2 linked regions of the Elephas maximus indicus genome follow. The protein of the gene in region 1 purifies or fractionates together with the protein of each later gene. This does not show direct contact. Links are inferred from orthologs where the notes say so. Each region holds a gene or a part of one and is shown on either strand. Other genes may lie near its edges.

Evidence for each region. The genes of interacting proteins can lie anywhere in the genome.
Region 2: the proteins of DCAF7 (region 1) and CCT6A purify together in Homo sapiens (affinity purification with mass spectrometry; 3 studies listed by BioGRID and IntAct, counting the BioPlex papers as one, with this or other methods). This does not show direct contact. The link is inferred for Elephas maximus indicus from reciprocal best matches to the Homo sapiens genes DCAF7 and CCT6A.

Annotation. Positions count from the first base shown.
Region 1 is NC_064837.1:54,787,394-54,795,043, forward strand, and holds the start of DCAF7 (DDB1- and CUL4-associated factor 7), read left to right. Parts: upstream 1-4,574; 5' UTR 4,575-4,803; coding exon 4,804-4,941; intron 4,942-7,650. Other genes in the region: KCNH6 (potassium voltage-gated channel subfamily H member 6), read left to right, coding at 444-630, 985-1,269. UniProt on the Homo sapiens protein: Involved in craniofacial development. Acts upstream of the EDN1 pathway and is required for formation of the upper jaw equivalent, the palatoquadrate. The activity required for EDN1 pathway function differs between the first and second arches.
Region 2 is NC_064830.1:103,112,688-103,119,670, reverse strand, and holds the start of CCT6A (T-complex protein 1 subunit zeta), read right to left. Parts: upstream 3,077-6,983; 5' UTR 2,966-3,076; coding exon 2,829-2,965; intron 2,450-2,828; coding exon 2,386-2,449; intron 1-2,385. UniProt on the Homo sapiens protein: Component of the chaperonin-containing T-complex (TRiC), a molecular chaperone complex that assists the folding of actin, tubulin and other proteins upon ATP hydrolysis.

The DNA.
Region 1 (7,650 bases):
GTGGGGCCGCAATCATGTGCAGAAACATAAATTCCATGGGCCCTTGGAAAAGGGCATGGCCTGTGGATGGTGGGAATTTGGAGCAGGATGGTCTTGAGTTCAAATTCTGGCTCTGCAGCGCACCAGCTAGAGTATGGGCAAGTTACTTAACCACTTGGAGCCTCAGTTTGCTCTTTTGTGAAATGGGGATAATCAGAATAGCCATGTCAAAATGTCACTATGAGGACTGAACAATGTGTGCATGGGGCCTGTTCATTGTTGTTACCAGAGTCAGGGACATGCTAAGCGGAGTTTGGGCAAAGGCTGCAGATCCCAGTGGGAAATGGCTTCGAGTAGGCCCCAAGCTGCCATAACCCCAAACTGAGAGCTGGCCTCAAGCCCTGAACTGCTCTCCCCCACCCTGACCCTGACCCTGACCCTGACTGCGGGGCTCCGTCTGGCAGGCTAGAGTTCCGCATGGCCTCAGACCTCAGTCACATCCTGAAGCTCCTTCAGCAGCCTCTGCCACAGGGCCACCCCAGCTATATCCTGGGAGCCCCTGCCTCCAAGGACCTGGCCTTGTTTCCTGTGACCTCAGCAACTCCAAGACCAGGTCCCAGGCTGGCCCAGGGCCATCTGCCTCCTGCACAGGTGAGCAGGTGAGGGACCCCCAGGGGCTTTCCTGGAGGTAGCTGCTTGCTTTCCCACACCCCCAACTCGTTCCAATGTGGCTTCAGGCTCAGGGCCTCTGTGCTCCTAGAGCAGCTGTGGCTTCTGTTGTCCCCCTTTATGGCTTGAACCATGACAGGGCAGCCTGGACGGGGCAGCGGCAAAGTCCAGAAAGTGACCACAGACCCCCAGCTGGGGCAAAGGTAACAGGACCCTGTGCTGTGAAGGAGCAGGCACACCTCCAGCCAGCCCCCACCCCTGAAGTTGGGGTGGCTTAACCCATAGCCTGGCCTGGGAGGCTCTTCACACTGCATGCCTCTTTCTTGCCCCTCCCAGACCCCAGGCTGTGGTGACTTGGACCAATGTAGGCTGACGCACAGGAATGCCTCCTCCAGGATGCATCACCTGGTCGTGGCAATGGACAACCCCCTGACACCATCCTTGGAACAGGAGCAGCCCCAGGGGCTCCTGTCACCCTTGGCCTCACCTCTGTGGGACACAGACGGACAGGGACTTGTCTGTGGTCCCCGCTTCCCCTCCCTCCCTGAACACCTTGGCTCTGTCCCCAAGCAGCTGGAGTTCCAGAGATATGGCTCAGATCCTGGATTTGCAGGGTGTTAAAGCTACTGAATCCCAAGATAAAAGACACCATGAGAGGACTGAAGGTGGGTGAGAGTTGAGGATCCTCAGGGAGGCAGACAGCCTCCAAAATGGGCCTCTGAAAATCATTCCCCTAGAGTAGGTTCATACTGGTAACCCAGGTGACCCAAAAGGGCACGGTGAAGAGACTCTGGACTTTTCCCACCCTCCCCCAGGGCTCTGTTTAGACAGCAAGCCTGGTGAAGGATTGGGAGGGGGAGTGACTCTGATGTGCAGGTAACTTACAGGAGTGAGGGGTCAGTGAGGTAAAGAGAAGTTTCTGATCTGTGTGAGAGTCTTGCTCTGGGCTCGGCAGGATTATCCCTCAACTCAGAAACAGCCCCTGTACGTGGCCCAGCAACCACGGCCCAGGATCGATCAGGCCTCCTGCCGAGAGCCTCTGACCCAGCTGGAGGTGAAGGTGCCCTCTGTGGTAGACATGCCAATTCACAGAGCTCCAGCCCTCAGCTGCTTCACCCCTAACAGTTCTGTGATGACCTTTGGGCCCCTTCTGGGCAGTGGAGTGCCACACAGTTAATAAATTCGGCACATTTCCTGTTTAGCCAGGTATGTAAACTTACCTGAGGGTCATCAGGTCCTTGACTGTGCCATGACTCCAACATCTGTGGTTTTCCCCAAGCCCTTCTCACAAAGAGCTGGGGGTTCATCCTCCAAATCTACCATGTTGGGGACCTGAAGGTGGCTCCGCTGAGCCCAGGAGCCCTTGGAGCATAGCCAGGCTAGGGCGAAGGGAAGCAGAGAGGTGCTGGCTTGGTGGCCATCTGGAATCATGACAACAGCCAACACTCCCGTGGCACTCACCCCGTGCTGGGCACCACGCTGACTGCTCTGAAGATATTCATTCATCTAATTCTCCCAACAACCTTATGGGGTCAGTATAATTATTCCCATTTTAGAGATGTGGAATCAGTAATCAGAAACTTACCTGAGTATGAGGGGGACTTCTGGGTGCTGATGTTGTTCTGTTTCTTGATCTGGGTGCTGGTTACATGAATGTGTGTTCATGTCGTTAAAAAATATGTACACTTCTATGTGTAAATTATACTTCAATTAAAAAATAAAAAGAATCTTGCCCAACACAGTAGGAAAAGGAGGACATAACTTCAACCCAAGGAGCAGCAGCCCTGGTGGCACAGTAGTTAAGTGCTCAGCTGCTAATTGAAAAGTTGGCAGTTTGAACCAACCCATCTGCTCCACGGGAGAAAGACTTGGTGATCTGCTCTTATAAAGATTAACAACAATAACAAACCTGTTGCTGTCGAGTTGATTCCAACTCATAGCCACCCTGCAGGACAGAGTACAACTGCCTCATAGGGTTTCCAAGGCTGTAATCTTTACCGAAGAAGACTGCCACATTTTTCTCCTGAAGAGCAGCTAGTGAGTTCAAACTACTGACCTTTCAGGGGCCGAGCACTTTAACCACTGTGCCACCAGGCTGTCCTACTATGTCACATGGGGTCGTTATGAGTAGAAAATCAACTTGATGGCACCTAAATTTTTTAACAAAACAATTTCAACCCAGATAGTCTGGCCTGACAGCCTGTGCAGTTAGCTGCAAAGGGCTATTGTTCAAAAAGGTCCTCATCACTGGTCTTCAGTTATTTTGCACAAATATTCTCTAAAGGAAATCTGACATCTTTTGAAGTTGACATCTGAATTGTTTCATTGGTAAGTTTAAATTGTCGCAAAGGATGTAATTTCCATTGGGTTGTAAATATTGACACAACTGTACTGTTTTGTCCCTCATTTATATTGATCCATTTGCATCCAAATAGCTTAGTGACTTGAGAGCCACCATGGGCCATTTTAAAGACACAAGAACAAACCTTCTTCAACATCATTCCTTTTTCTCTTCAAACTCGTAATTCCATTCTAGCCACCATCCCCATTTTATGCACCATGTAATTTATTTTCATGCTTCAAAGTCTATTATTGAGCATCCTATCATATCTGCTTGCAACACAAATATGTATATAAACTGAAATTTTAAAATTAAATTTTGTAAACTTACTAAGGCTTTATTAGTAGTACCGAGTTGTTTAAAACAACAAATATATATTCACATTTTTATAAAAATTAACATTTTATTGGAAATGCACCTCTTAAAGAGATTGCATGGGGATTTTTTCCCCCAATTAGTTAGTTCATTTATCTGTGGATGAATATCATTTTTTAAGAGGATAAGACAAAGTTCAGCAACAGTTTTGTTTGTATTTTTCTTTTTTTTATTAAACTTAAGCACAGAGAAAACTTGCTCACACAAATAAGATGGGACTGGAAGGGATTTATTAAAACGTCACTTAATTCTTTCAATTCTTTCCAAGTTGTCTGTTAAAAATCACATCGACCATTAAAAATTATATTTAATGATATCATCTAACAATCCACTACAATCCTTCAATTTTGTTGAAAGCAAAGAATTGGAAACCATGTAAAGTATAAAAAGTTGTTACCCAGATTCGAGACCTGCATTTTCTCCATTTCAAACTCACAGCGCAGATAAATTTAAGGCTTGATTGACATACGCCTTGGGATGCGCTGCGGGGAAGGGATGGGCATAGACAGAAGCTTAGAGCCAAGCTGGTCACGTTGCTGCTAATTGAGGACCAACCGGAGAATTCAATTCGGAGATTTTTCTGGAATTGCAGGAAAGCGCAGGCAGGCCTCACTGAACCCGGCGTGGTCCTAACTAAGCCATCGGTCGGTCTGCAAAAGGCGTGCCGGAGGCCTTTCCTTTAGACACTGGGAAAACGCTGCCCGGGTTCAAAGGGGCGTTGGGACGAGTGGGAAGGGAGGGTGACTCCTGTTTGGCGCGGGCCAAGCTGCCTGGCCGCAAGGCCCCCCCATTATTGCAGAATTTTAATTTTACTCGACAGCTTGGGGAGGCCGCTCAGAATAGAAGCAGCAGAGGGGAGGTCAGAGCAGGTCACGCAAGAGGTTTCATTCTCAGAGACTTGACCTAGAACTTGGAGACCTGCTGCCCGGCACGTTGAACTCTATATCACCCACGCCCCCATTCACCAGCAGTGCACCGTTATCTCTCGGACTGACATTTGTACCAGCCAATGGCCTTCGGGTCTGCGAAAGCCCCGCCCCATGATTGGGAGGGGCGAGAAATTGGAGTGACGTAGTGAGGAGGTGTCAAAACCTCCGGGCACAATAACCAATCAGGCGAAGGAACTGTTCGAAAGGACGTGTCAGGCAGCCAACGGCCGGCGACGCTGCGCGGGTCGCGTGGCTTCCGTTCCGAGTGGGCGGGGCGGTGTCCCAAACGGAAGGTGGTTTTTGTCGGTGCCGAAGCTGGTTTGAAAGTGGGGGTCGGGCCAGGCCGCCGTTGTCTGTCGCCGCGGCCCCGCTTCCGGGCTAGGCTGTCCCTGCCTGCCCCGCCTCCCTTCAGACCCCTCGGTCCCAGGCTCGGCTCCCCGCCCAACTCGCGCCCCGCCCGCTGCCTCCGACTGCGGACCCGGCCCGCACTGCGGCCCAGCCGCCGCCACCATGTCCCTGCACGGCAAACGGAAGGAGATCTACAAGTATGAAGCGCCCTGGACGGTCTACGCCATGAACTGGAGCGTGCGGCCCGACAAGCGCTTTCGCCTGGCGCTGGGCAGCTTCGTGGAGGAGTACAACAACAAGGTGGGCCGGGCAGGGGCTCGGAGCCCAGCTGGCGGGGAGCGGGCCCCGGGAGCGCCCTTTCCGGGCCGGAGCCCAGACCCCAGAGCCCTCCTGCGGACTTGCCTTGGCGTCCTGGAGCGGTTCCTGTGTGTCTTGCCCGGTGCTGAGGGTTTTGCACTCGTTGTCTCATTTAATCCTGGCAGATTCCCGTGTAGTCGGGAGTGTAGTTACCTCCGTTTTACTGATGGGGAAACTGAAGCACAATATCGTGACTTGCTGAGCTAGGCAGCTATTTCATGGCCGAAACAGATCTGAAACCCGAGCTTCCACGCCAAGGCTACACCGTTTATCTTTTTCAACCGCCTCCCCTCCTGCCGCATTGCTTCAGTTTGGGGGGCGGGGGTGGGAGGAATTAATGGCTGTGAGGGAAAATGCAGGCATTAGAGTTGGTAGCCCTTCACTTCTGGCACAGACTTCCCCCTCCCCCCACTCCCATCCCCAGATACTATTCATGGTTCCCCTGGCCCTTCTGCCAGGAGTGCCATCGCTATTGCTGCCTGATAGCCATTCCTTCCAAAGCGATGTCTTTTTGAAAGTCTTGGCCCATGGCCATGATCCCGTCATTGTTTCCTAAATAGAGAAGGATGACACTTTGCCTTATCTTTCCTTGGCTCCTTTCCTGCTAATACAGATGTGTAACCTTGAGTAGTAAGTCTTTCTGGGCATCCATCAATTTGAGAGTCCTTCATAGAAGCGTTGGTAGTAGGGGAAGCTTTTACGCTGGCAGTGCAGCATACGTTTATTTTCTGAAGTTGTTGAATAAGGAATTTTCTTTCCTTTATTCTTTAAGCTCTTCCTTTTATTGTATCAGAGTAAAAGTTGTGATTGATAGTGATCAGAGCAACTGAAAGCCTTGGCTGTTGATATTTAGAGCCAGAGCTCCCGCTTAAACCATGAACACCAGAAAACTAAAATTATGTGGAGAGTGACAGGCATGGCGCAGAGGGAAAAAGTCACGCTGTCTAGGGTCAGGTCCTGTCTGGTCCCTTGATTAGCTGTGGGGCATTGCACAGGGCAGTTGTATTTCTGACCCACAGTTTGTTGTAGGAAGGAGGTTTCTTTTTACATGTGATGGTCTTGTAGAAAGCATTTGAAATGTTTATATTTCTTTTGTGTGTAGTTTTTCAGGAGCACATCTGTTTCTTTAGAGTAGGTCGTAACTACTTGGGAGTCCCCTTTGAGAAAACGTTGAAAACAATGGACTTTGCTCAGATATTGCACGTGAACAATTTACAAATCTCAAGGAGTACAAACTGATCTCGAAGCCCACCCACTGGCCACAGAAAACGGAGAATCGGGAGCAAGACATAGCTTTATTTCCTTTTCTCTGGTGATTTTTATTCCTTATGGAGCATAGTGGATGGCAGAGCTGGAAAAGGAATTTAAAGCCCTGGTGTGGAAACCAGATTATTAAAATTAAGACCACTAGAACTATTGTTAAGGGTACATGTTAAAAAAAAAAAGAGGTAAAATATGACTTCCAAAGGGCATATGAGTCTTTTCACACAAATTGATAATTTTTTTCTTGCAAGTATTTCCAGGGTTAATTTGGGTAAGAAGTCATAGTCTCATTTCTAAGAGAGGGAAAACTGAGTCACAGTTAGGTTACCAAAGAATCTGTGGAATAATTGGTGTTAAATCTCGGTTTTGGGAACTCTGCCCCCACATTCGGCCTTCCATTCAGCAACCGTATGGAGCTCCTTCTTTGTGTTGGGCACACAAGCAATGTTGCCTTAGTAGTAAAATGCAAACTAATAATCCCAGTAGTAACAGAATAAGCAGTTGACTGTGTTTTAACTCTGAGTCCCTGAGTGGGACAAACAATGCATTCAGCTGCTATTAGTGGTTGGAGTCTGGCAACGTGGGGTCGTCATGAATCAGAGCCGACTCGCTAGTAACTGGTTTGGTTTTTTGGCTTTATATTTGAACTCATTTATGTGATGTAGGCATATTATGGAAACCCTGGTGGTGTAGTGGTTAAGTGCTACAGCTGCTAACCCAAGGGTCGGCAGTTCAAATCTGCCAGGTGCTCTTTGGAAACTCTACGGGGCAGTTCTACTCTGTCCTATAGGGTCACTAGGAGTCGGAATTGACTTGACGGCAGTGGGTTTGGTTTTTTTGGGTTTTTCTAGGCAAATTATTTTTGTGTCTCCATCTATCTGTAGTTCAGGGTTCTTAGCTTTTGTGTGTGTGTGTTGTGTATGTGTGTGCCATGGACACCTTTGACGATCTAAAGTCTATAGCCTGCTTCTCAGAATGATGTTTTCAAATGCGTAAACATATATAGGATTACAAAGGAAGCCAATTATATTGAACTATAGTTATCAAAACTTTTGAAAAGTGGTGATAAAGTAATATGTGCTTTTAAATTAACTCATTAAATTGTATCATCTAGTGTAATTGTTATTGTAATTTTGAAATGGTTATGAAGGTAAACAACTTTTCATAATATATTTCACAAATATAATGTGATATGAAAAAATCAATGATTTCTATTGGTGACAAAGTCACGGATATTGCTAATGCTGCTGTGGGTGACTGCCTCCATTTGTAATTAAAAGAAATGCTTAATTTCAGCTAGAGATTGATGAAAATATAATTTTCTGATCCAAGTTCGTGGACCCCCCCACCCCCAAGTTAAGAAACCTTACTGTAGAGGATCTGTGCGTA
Region 2 (6,983 bases), on another chromosome or scaffold:
CATCAATTGGTCTCAACCCACCTGGAGCAAAGGAGAATGACGACCACCAAACATGCAAGGTAAATAGCAGAATGAAGACCACCAAAGACACAAGGTAAAGATGAGCCCAAGAGACAGAAAGGGCCACATGAACCAGAGACTACTTCAGCCTGGAACCAGAAGAACTAGATGGTATCCGGCTACCACCGATGAATGCCCTGACAGGGCCCTGACAGGGAACACAACTGAGAATCCCTGATGGAGCAGGAGAACAATCGGATGCAGACCTCAGGTTCTCATGAAAAGACTAGACTTAATGGGTCTGACCGAGACTGAAGGGACCCTAAAGGTCATGGTCCCCAGACCCTCTGTTAGCCCAAGACTGGAACCATTCCTGATGCTAACTCTTCAAACAGGGATTGGACTGGACTATAAGATAGAAAACGATACTGGTGAGGAGTGAGCTTCTTAGCTCAAGGAGACACATGAGACTATATGGACAGCTCCTGTCTGGAGGGGAGATGAGAAGGCAGAGGGGGACAGAAGCTGGCTGAATAAAAAAAAAGGCTGAATGGACACAGGGAATATAGGGTGTCTCATTAGGGGGAGAGCAGCTAGGAGTAAACAACAAGGTGTGTAAGTTTTTATATGAGAGACTAACTTGATAAGTAAACTTTCACTTAAAGCACATTAAAAAAAAAAAAGAATAAGCTAGGTGCCTTCTGAAATGAAAGCTCAGCAGCCTCCAACATTACGTGACATTGACCAAATAACTTAAAAAGCCCTTGCAGCAAACACCATCAATAGATGCAGAATCACTGTGTGGACAGGTTCTGGAAGAACAGGATATTCACCATGTCTCCAACATCACCCCACGAAGACTCAATTACAAAGGACTGAATCAAGGATCCTGCAGGGCATCTGGTTTTCATGCTGCCTTACCCTCCTTTAATCTAGAACACTTCCCTAGCCTGTTATGTCTTTGAAGATACTTTTAAGAATTCAGGCCAGTCATCTCACAGACTATCTCATTATCTAAATTTGCTGACGTTAAATATTTTTGCTAAAAACACCACACAGGTGTCACTGTATACTTCTCACTGTGTAAGGCACAGGGGGCACATGTCAAATTACAGACCTTTCTGTCCATAATCTGGGAATACAACCATCATAAGGAGCTATATAAAGGCCATTTAAAGGGACAACTGTGAAAACAAATAGGGACCTTGTACTAGACTATACTGTATCAATGTTAAATTTCTCGGGCTTTCTTAACTAAGGTGGGGGCTACATGCGTTCAGTTTAAAGTTATAAGTTAAACTGTAAATATTTTCTTTTTTTGTTGTATTTCACAATAAAAAGGAAATAAGCCTCTGACCAAAGAATTGCAAATTTTATGAAAGTTCTCTGTAATAACACTTGCTATGGAGATACAACTCTTCTGACTGACCTCACATTTAAACTATGGCTCCAACTGGTCCCTGCTGGCAGGGACCGCCATTTAGCCTGTTAAAAATAAACGAACTGCTTCTAACTCACACAAAAAAGACCAGACTTACTGGTCTGACAGAGACTGAAGAAACCTGTGGACACCCTTTTACCTCAGTACTGAAGTCACTCCTAAGGTTCACCCTTCAACCAAAGATTCGACAAGCCCATAAAACAAAATGAGACTAAACGGGCACACCAGATCAGGGACAAAGACGAGAAGGCAGGAGGGGACAGGAGAGCTGGTAACAGGGTACCCAAAGTAAAGAAGGGGAAGAGCGCGGACAAGTCATGGGGTTGGCAACCAATATCACAAAACAATACGTGTATTAATTATTTAATGACAACTAATTTGCTCTGTAAAGTTCATCTAATGTACAATAAAAAATTAAAAAAACAAATTGCACCTTCTAGGTTAGCTAGCCCTTACTAACGATATTTATAAACACATGGATGTTGGTGACATGCTGTATTACTACCAAAATCCTAAATTTTATTCTGAACACAAATCACAGGCAACACACTTCCTCTTTCTGAATTTGAACTGTTAGATTTCGAGAACTCAGTGATAATTAAGTGTTCATCTCAAAAATCTCATATTCCAGGTCATTCGCCCACCAGTTTCTGTTAACCACTCTTGGTTTTTACAGATTTTACCATAATAAAGTTTAATAATTACGATCCCTTAACCAAAATTTTAAATGAGTCACATTTCGGTCTGTGCGGCTGCAGGGCTCCCCACCGTATTGTTCCTTCGGTGTTATTACTGATGACACTCTTTTCTGCTCCTTCCCTACTCACAACCTGCCGACCCATATTAACTTTCTCCTACCTGAAAAACAGACATTGGAAATTTTGCTACAAATCAAAAGCCCTATGGAAAATCAAGCCACTCTGGATGTGGACGAGATTTCTCACCATTTCATGGAGCAGCACGTTGCCATCCTTAGTCAGCTTGATGTCTCCGGCACCAGAAACAAGCCTGTTCAATGGAAACGAATCAGTGTGATTCCCCCCACCCCCCAAACGGAGAGCAAAGCAAACGTCCCATAAAAGCCGGGCTTTTCCCAGATTCCCGGGGGCCGCGGCTGCGGGGCTGGGTCCCTCCTCCCGGTCTACAGAAAGGCGTACCCCGGCCCCTGAGAACGCGAGCCGGGAGCTCGCTGTGGCTGGAACGTGCGGGGCGAGCGCACGAGGGCAGCTTTGTTCTCCGCGGAAACGGCACCGACAGGAGGAAACGGCCACGCTGGCGGGAGGCCCACGTGGAGGCTCGCAGGCGCAGGTTCGAACCCGGGGCCCGCCTTCCCGCCGCGGCGCGTGGCTCGCGGCCCCAGGCCCGCCCTCCGCCAGCCCCGACTCACATCTTCATGGTGCCCTTGGGCCCCAGGTTGGTCCTCAGCACGTCCTGCAGCCCCCGGGCCGCGCTGATGTTGACCGCCAGCGCCGCCTGGGCTCGGGCCACCTCGGCCTTGGGGTTCAGGGTCTTCACGGCCGCCATGGTGGGCGCAGTAGAGGAAGAAGATAAGACCGGACCACCGGAAACCCCAAGGCCCGCTCAGCGTGGACGGGAGGCAAGATCCGCACCCTTCTGGAAAAGTCGGGCGAGCCCGCTCCTCCCCCAGCGTGCCTGCGCGCCGCCATCATTGGGCCGCCGGTAGGCTGGGCCCGTTCATTGGGTCGCGGGCCTGTGGTCCCGCCTTCCTCTCCACATCCGCATCCGGGTCCTCAGCGCCATTGAGTCCGGGCACAGTGTGGCCCCGGCAGCCCTGGACCCAAAGGGTTCCGCTATGGCGCTGGGCCCGGAGCCTGGGACCTGAGAACAAGGTGGCTGGGTGTGCAGGTTGTCAGTTTGTGGTACTGTGGGTCTTGTGTGTTGCTGTGATGCAACACACATGCTTGACAAAGTAGAGATTCAGTGAAAAAGAGGAAGACCGTCAGCGACATGGATTGACACAGTCGCTGCCATAGTGGGCTGAAGGTAGCAACAATTGTGAGGATGGCACAGGACCGGGCAGTGTTTCGTTCTGTGGTGCATAGGGGTCGCTATGAGTCGGACCTGACTACAGGACACCTAACAACAACAACATATACATGTACATATGTGTGTATATATTTATACCTTGATACATATAACTCACATATCCCATGTGAATTAAATTCTAGAGCAGAAAAAATGTATAGCGACAGCAGATCACTGGTTGCGTGGGGGAGGGTGGGCGGAATGGGGGAATTGACTCCAAAGGGGCACTGTGTTAATTCTCCAGTGCTGCTAAAACAAGTGCCGCAAGTGGGTGGCTTTACAAACAGAAATTTATTCCCTCAGAGTGTAGGAGGCCAGACATCTGAATTCAGAGTGCCAGCTCTAGGAGAAGGCTTTCTCTTTCTGTCATCTCTGGAGGGAGATCTTTGTCACTTCTGAGGTTCTGCTCCTGGGCGATCTTCATGTGGCTTGGCACCTCTCTTCCTCCATCTCTGCTTTTCTTGCTTTTCTTACTGGTTTAATCTCTTTTATATCTCAGAAGAGATTGACTCAAAATACACCCTACTCTTATCCTGTGTCATTAACATAATAAAGACCACCCATTCCCAAATGGGATTATAACCACTGGCATTGAAATGAGGATTCACATCACATGTTTGGGGGGACATAATTCAATTAATAACATTCCATCCTTTGCCCCCCCCAAATTCATGTTCTTGCCACGTGTAAAACACATTCATCCCGTCATACCATACCAAAAGTCTTAAATCAACTCCAAGTCCAAAATCTCATCTTCTGAAGCATCTAAATAAATTCTGGGTGAGATTTTAGGTTTATTCCATCCTGGGACAAAATTCCTCTTCATTGTGAACCTGTGAAATGTAGACTACGAGTTATCTGTTTACAAACTACACTGATGGAACAGGCATGAGGTAGACATTTCCATTACAGATGGGAGAAATTAGAGGGAAAGAAGGGATAACAGGCACCAAGCAAACACAAACCTCAGCAGAACAATTTACATTAGCTCTCAAGGCTTGAGAATAATCCTCCGTTCCTTGGTACCATCTGGGCAATGACCCTGCCCTCCAGACTCTGGGTGTTGGACATGCTCCCTGGATTCTCAGAGGAGGCCGTCCAGACCTGGGCTTTGGCTTCCCCTTCCAGGCCCATTGGGACAGCATCTCTGCTCCCTTGACTTTCGGTGGCCCCATTCTCCTAGTCCATCTTAGTGGTGACCCCACTCCCTCAGTGCTGGTAAGCCCCATTTTTCTGTCACTTGGACATGGCAGACCCACCCCCTCAGCTTTGGGTGGTGGCGCCACCCCCCTGCACGACTTAACAGCAGCCCCATGCTCCAGAACGGAGTTGGCAAAGATTTGACTCTTTGAAACCTAGGAGGCTGTGGCCCCACCTTTGAGATATAGGAGACATGGCCTCACCCTCTGAAACTGAGAAGACCCTACTTCCAGTGCTCCTTCCAGCAGTTCTGCTCCAGGGATGGTCCTTTTCTTTTCGTGGAGGACAACAAATGTACCTTCTTTGGCCTGTTTCCTGCCTGTAGAATTCCAGGTAGCAAAGAGTTTTCTTCCTGGAAGATGGGTATTCTACTGTAGTGGTTGGTTAGATCTAGCAGTCACAGGCTTAATCTCTTTAACAAAAGATTGTGTAGCCCTGTCCTTGGTGAACATTCTTGGACACATGTCCTTAGTTTGTCCTTACTAAGCTAGTGAACAGTTTCACATGGTTTCACCACATCTTTGATGTCCTGAAAAACAGGAGAAAATTGTTCACTACAGATTAGTACGTATGCACAAGTAAGCCCATTCGTACCTTGCTTATTGGGTAATCCAGCCCAGATCTTACTGTAAGCAGCGCGGAGAAACCATACAGCCCTTTTAAGATCTTGCTTAGAAATCTCATCAGCCAGCTGTCCAAGTTCATCACTTTCCACCAAATGTTTGAACATAATTGAGACAAGTTCTTTGCCACTGCATAAAAAGCATCGCCCTTCCTCCAGTGTCCAATCACACGTTCATCATTTTCTTTTAAAGCCTCACCAGGAGCACATTTAACGTCCACATTTCTAGCAACATCCTGTTCCTGCACCGTATGTATTTTCTAAGACGATAGAGATTTCGTCTACAGTTCTCCTCACTTCCTTCTGAGCCTTCATCAGAATTGCTTTTGACGTCCATAACTTCACCAACAGTCTCTTCAAGACAGTCTAGGTTTTTTCTATTAAACTCACTAAGCCAAACCCACAGCTATCAAGTAAATTCCGACTCATAGTGACCCTATAGGACAGAGTAGAACTGCCTCATAGGGTTTCCAAGGCTGTAAATCTTTACAGAAGCAGAGTGCCACATCTTTCTCCCAGGGAGCCACGGGTGGTTTTGAACCACTGACCTTTCCATTAGCAGCCGAGTGCTTTAACCACTAGGGCTGCTTGGCTTTTTCCATTAGGCACCTTAAAACCCAGCCTCTATCCATTGCCCAACTCTAAAACTGCTTCCCTATTTTAGGTATCTGTTGGAGCAACACCCCACTCTTCCAGTACCAAATGTCTTGGGCTGGGATCTCTAAAGGATTAAAGCCAGTGAAGCAAACCACTGAGAATCATGGCCTAACCAAGCTGATGCTTCACCTAAACCATCATACTCCCCAAATCTATATATCTATAAAGGGAGGCATAAGTATATACGTGAAAATATATAAAAAGTATGGGTAGGCCAGAGACTCAAGACTTACTGAGAAGGGTCCAGGGAAACTAGATTACTGGAAATGGAACAACCAGAACAGGAATAATGAGAATGTTGATAGACTGTGAAAAATGCAGCTAATGTCACTGAACAATTTGTGTAGAAAATTGTTAAATGGGAACCTAATATGGTGTGTAAACTTTCAACAAAAATATTTTTTCTAGGGTCTTAAAAGCCTGTGAGCAGGCATCTAAGATACTCTACTGATGTTACCCCATCTAGAGCAAGGAAGAATGAAGAAAACCAAAGGCACAAGGGAAAGATTAGTCCAAAGGACTAATGGACCACAACTACAACAGCCTCCGCCAGACTGAGTTCAGCACAACTAGATGGTGCCTGGCTACCACCACTGACTACTCTCACAGAGATCACAATAGAGGGTCCCAGAAAGACCTGAAGAAAAATGTAGAACAAAATTCTATCTCACAAAAAAAGACCAGACTTACTGTCCCAACAGAGACTGGAGAAACCCTGAGAGTATGGCTCCCAACACCCTTTTAGCTCAGTAATGAGGTCATTCCTGAGGTTCACCCTTCGTCCAAAGATGAGACAGGCCCATAAAACAAAAAGAGGCTAAAGGGGCACACCAGCCCAGGGGCAAGTACTGGAAGACAAGAGGGGACAGGAAAGCTGATGATAGGGAACCCAAGGTTGAGAAGGGAGAGTGTTGACATGTCCTGGGGTTGTTAACCAATGTCATAAAGCAATATGTGTTCAAACTGTTTAATGAGAAGCTAGTTGTTCTGTAAACCTTCATCTAAAGTACAATTAAA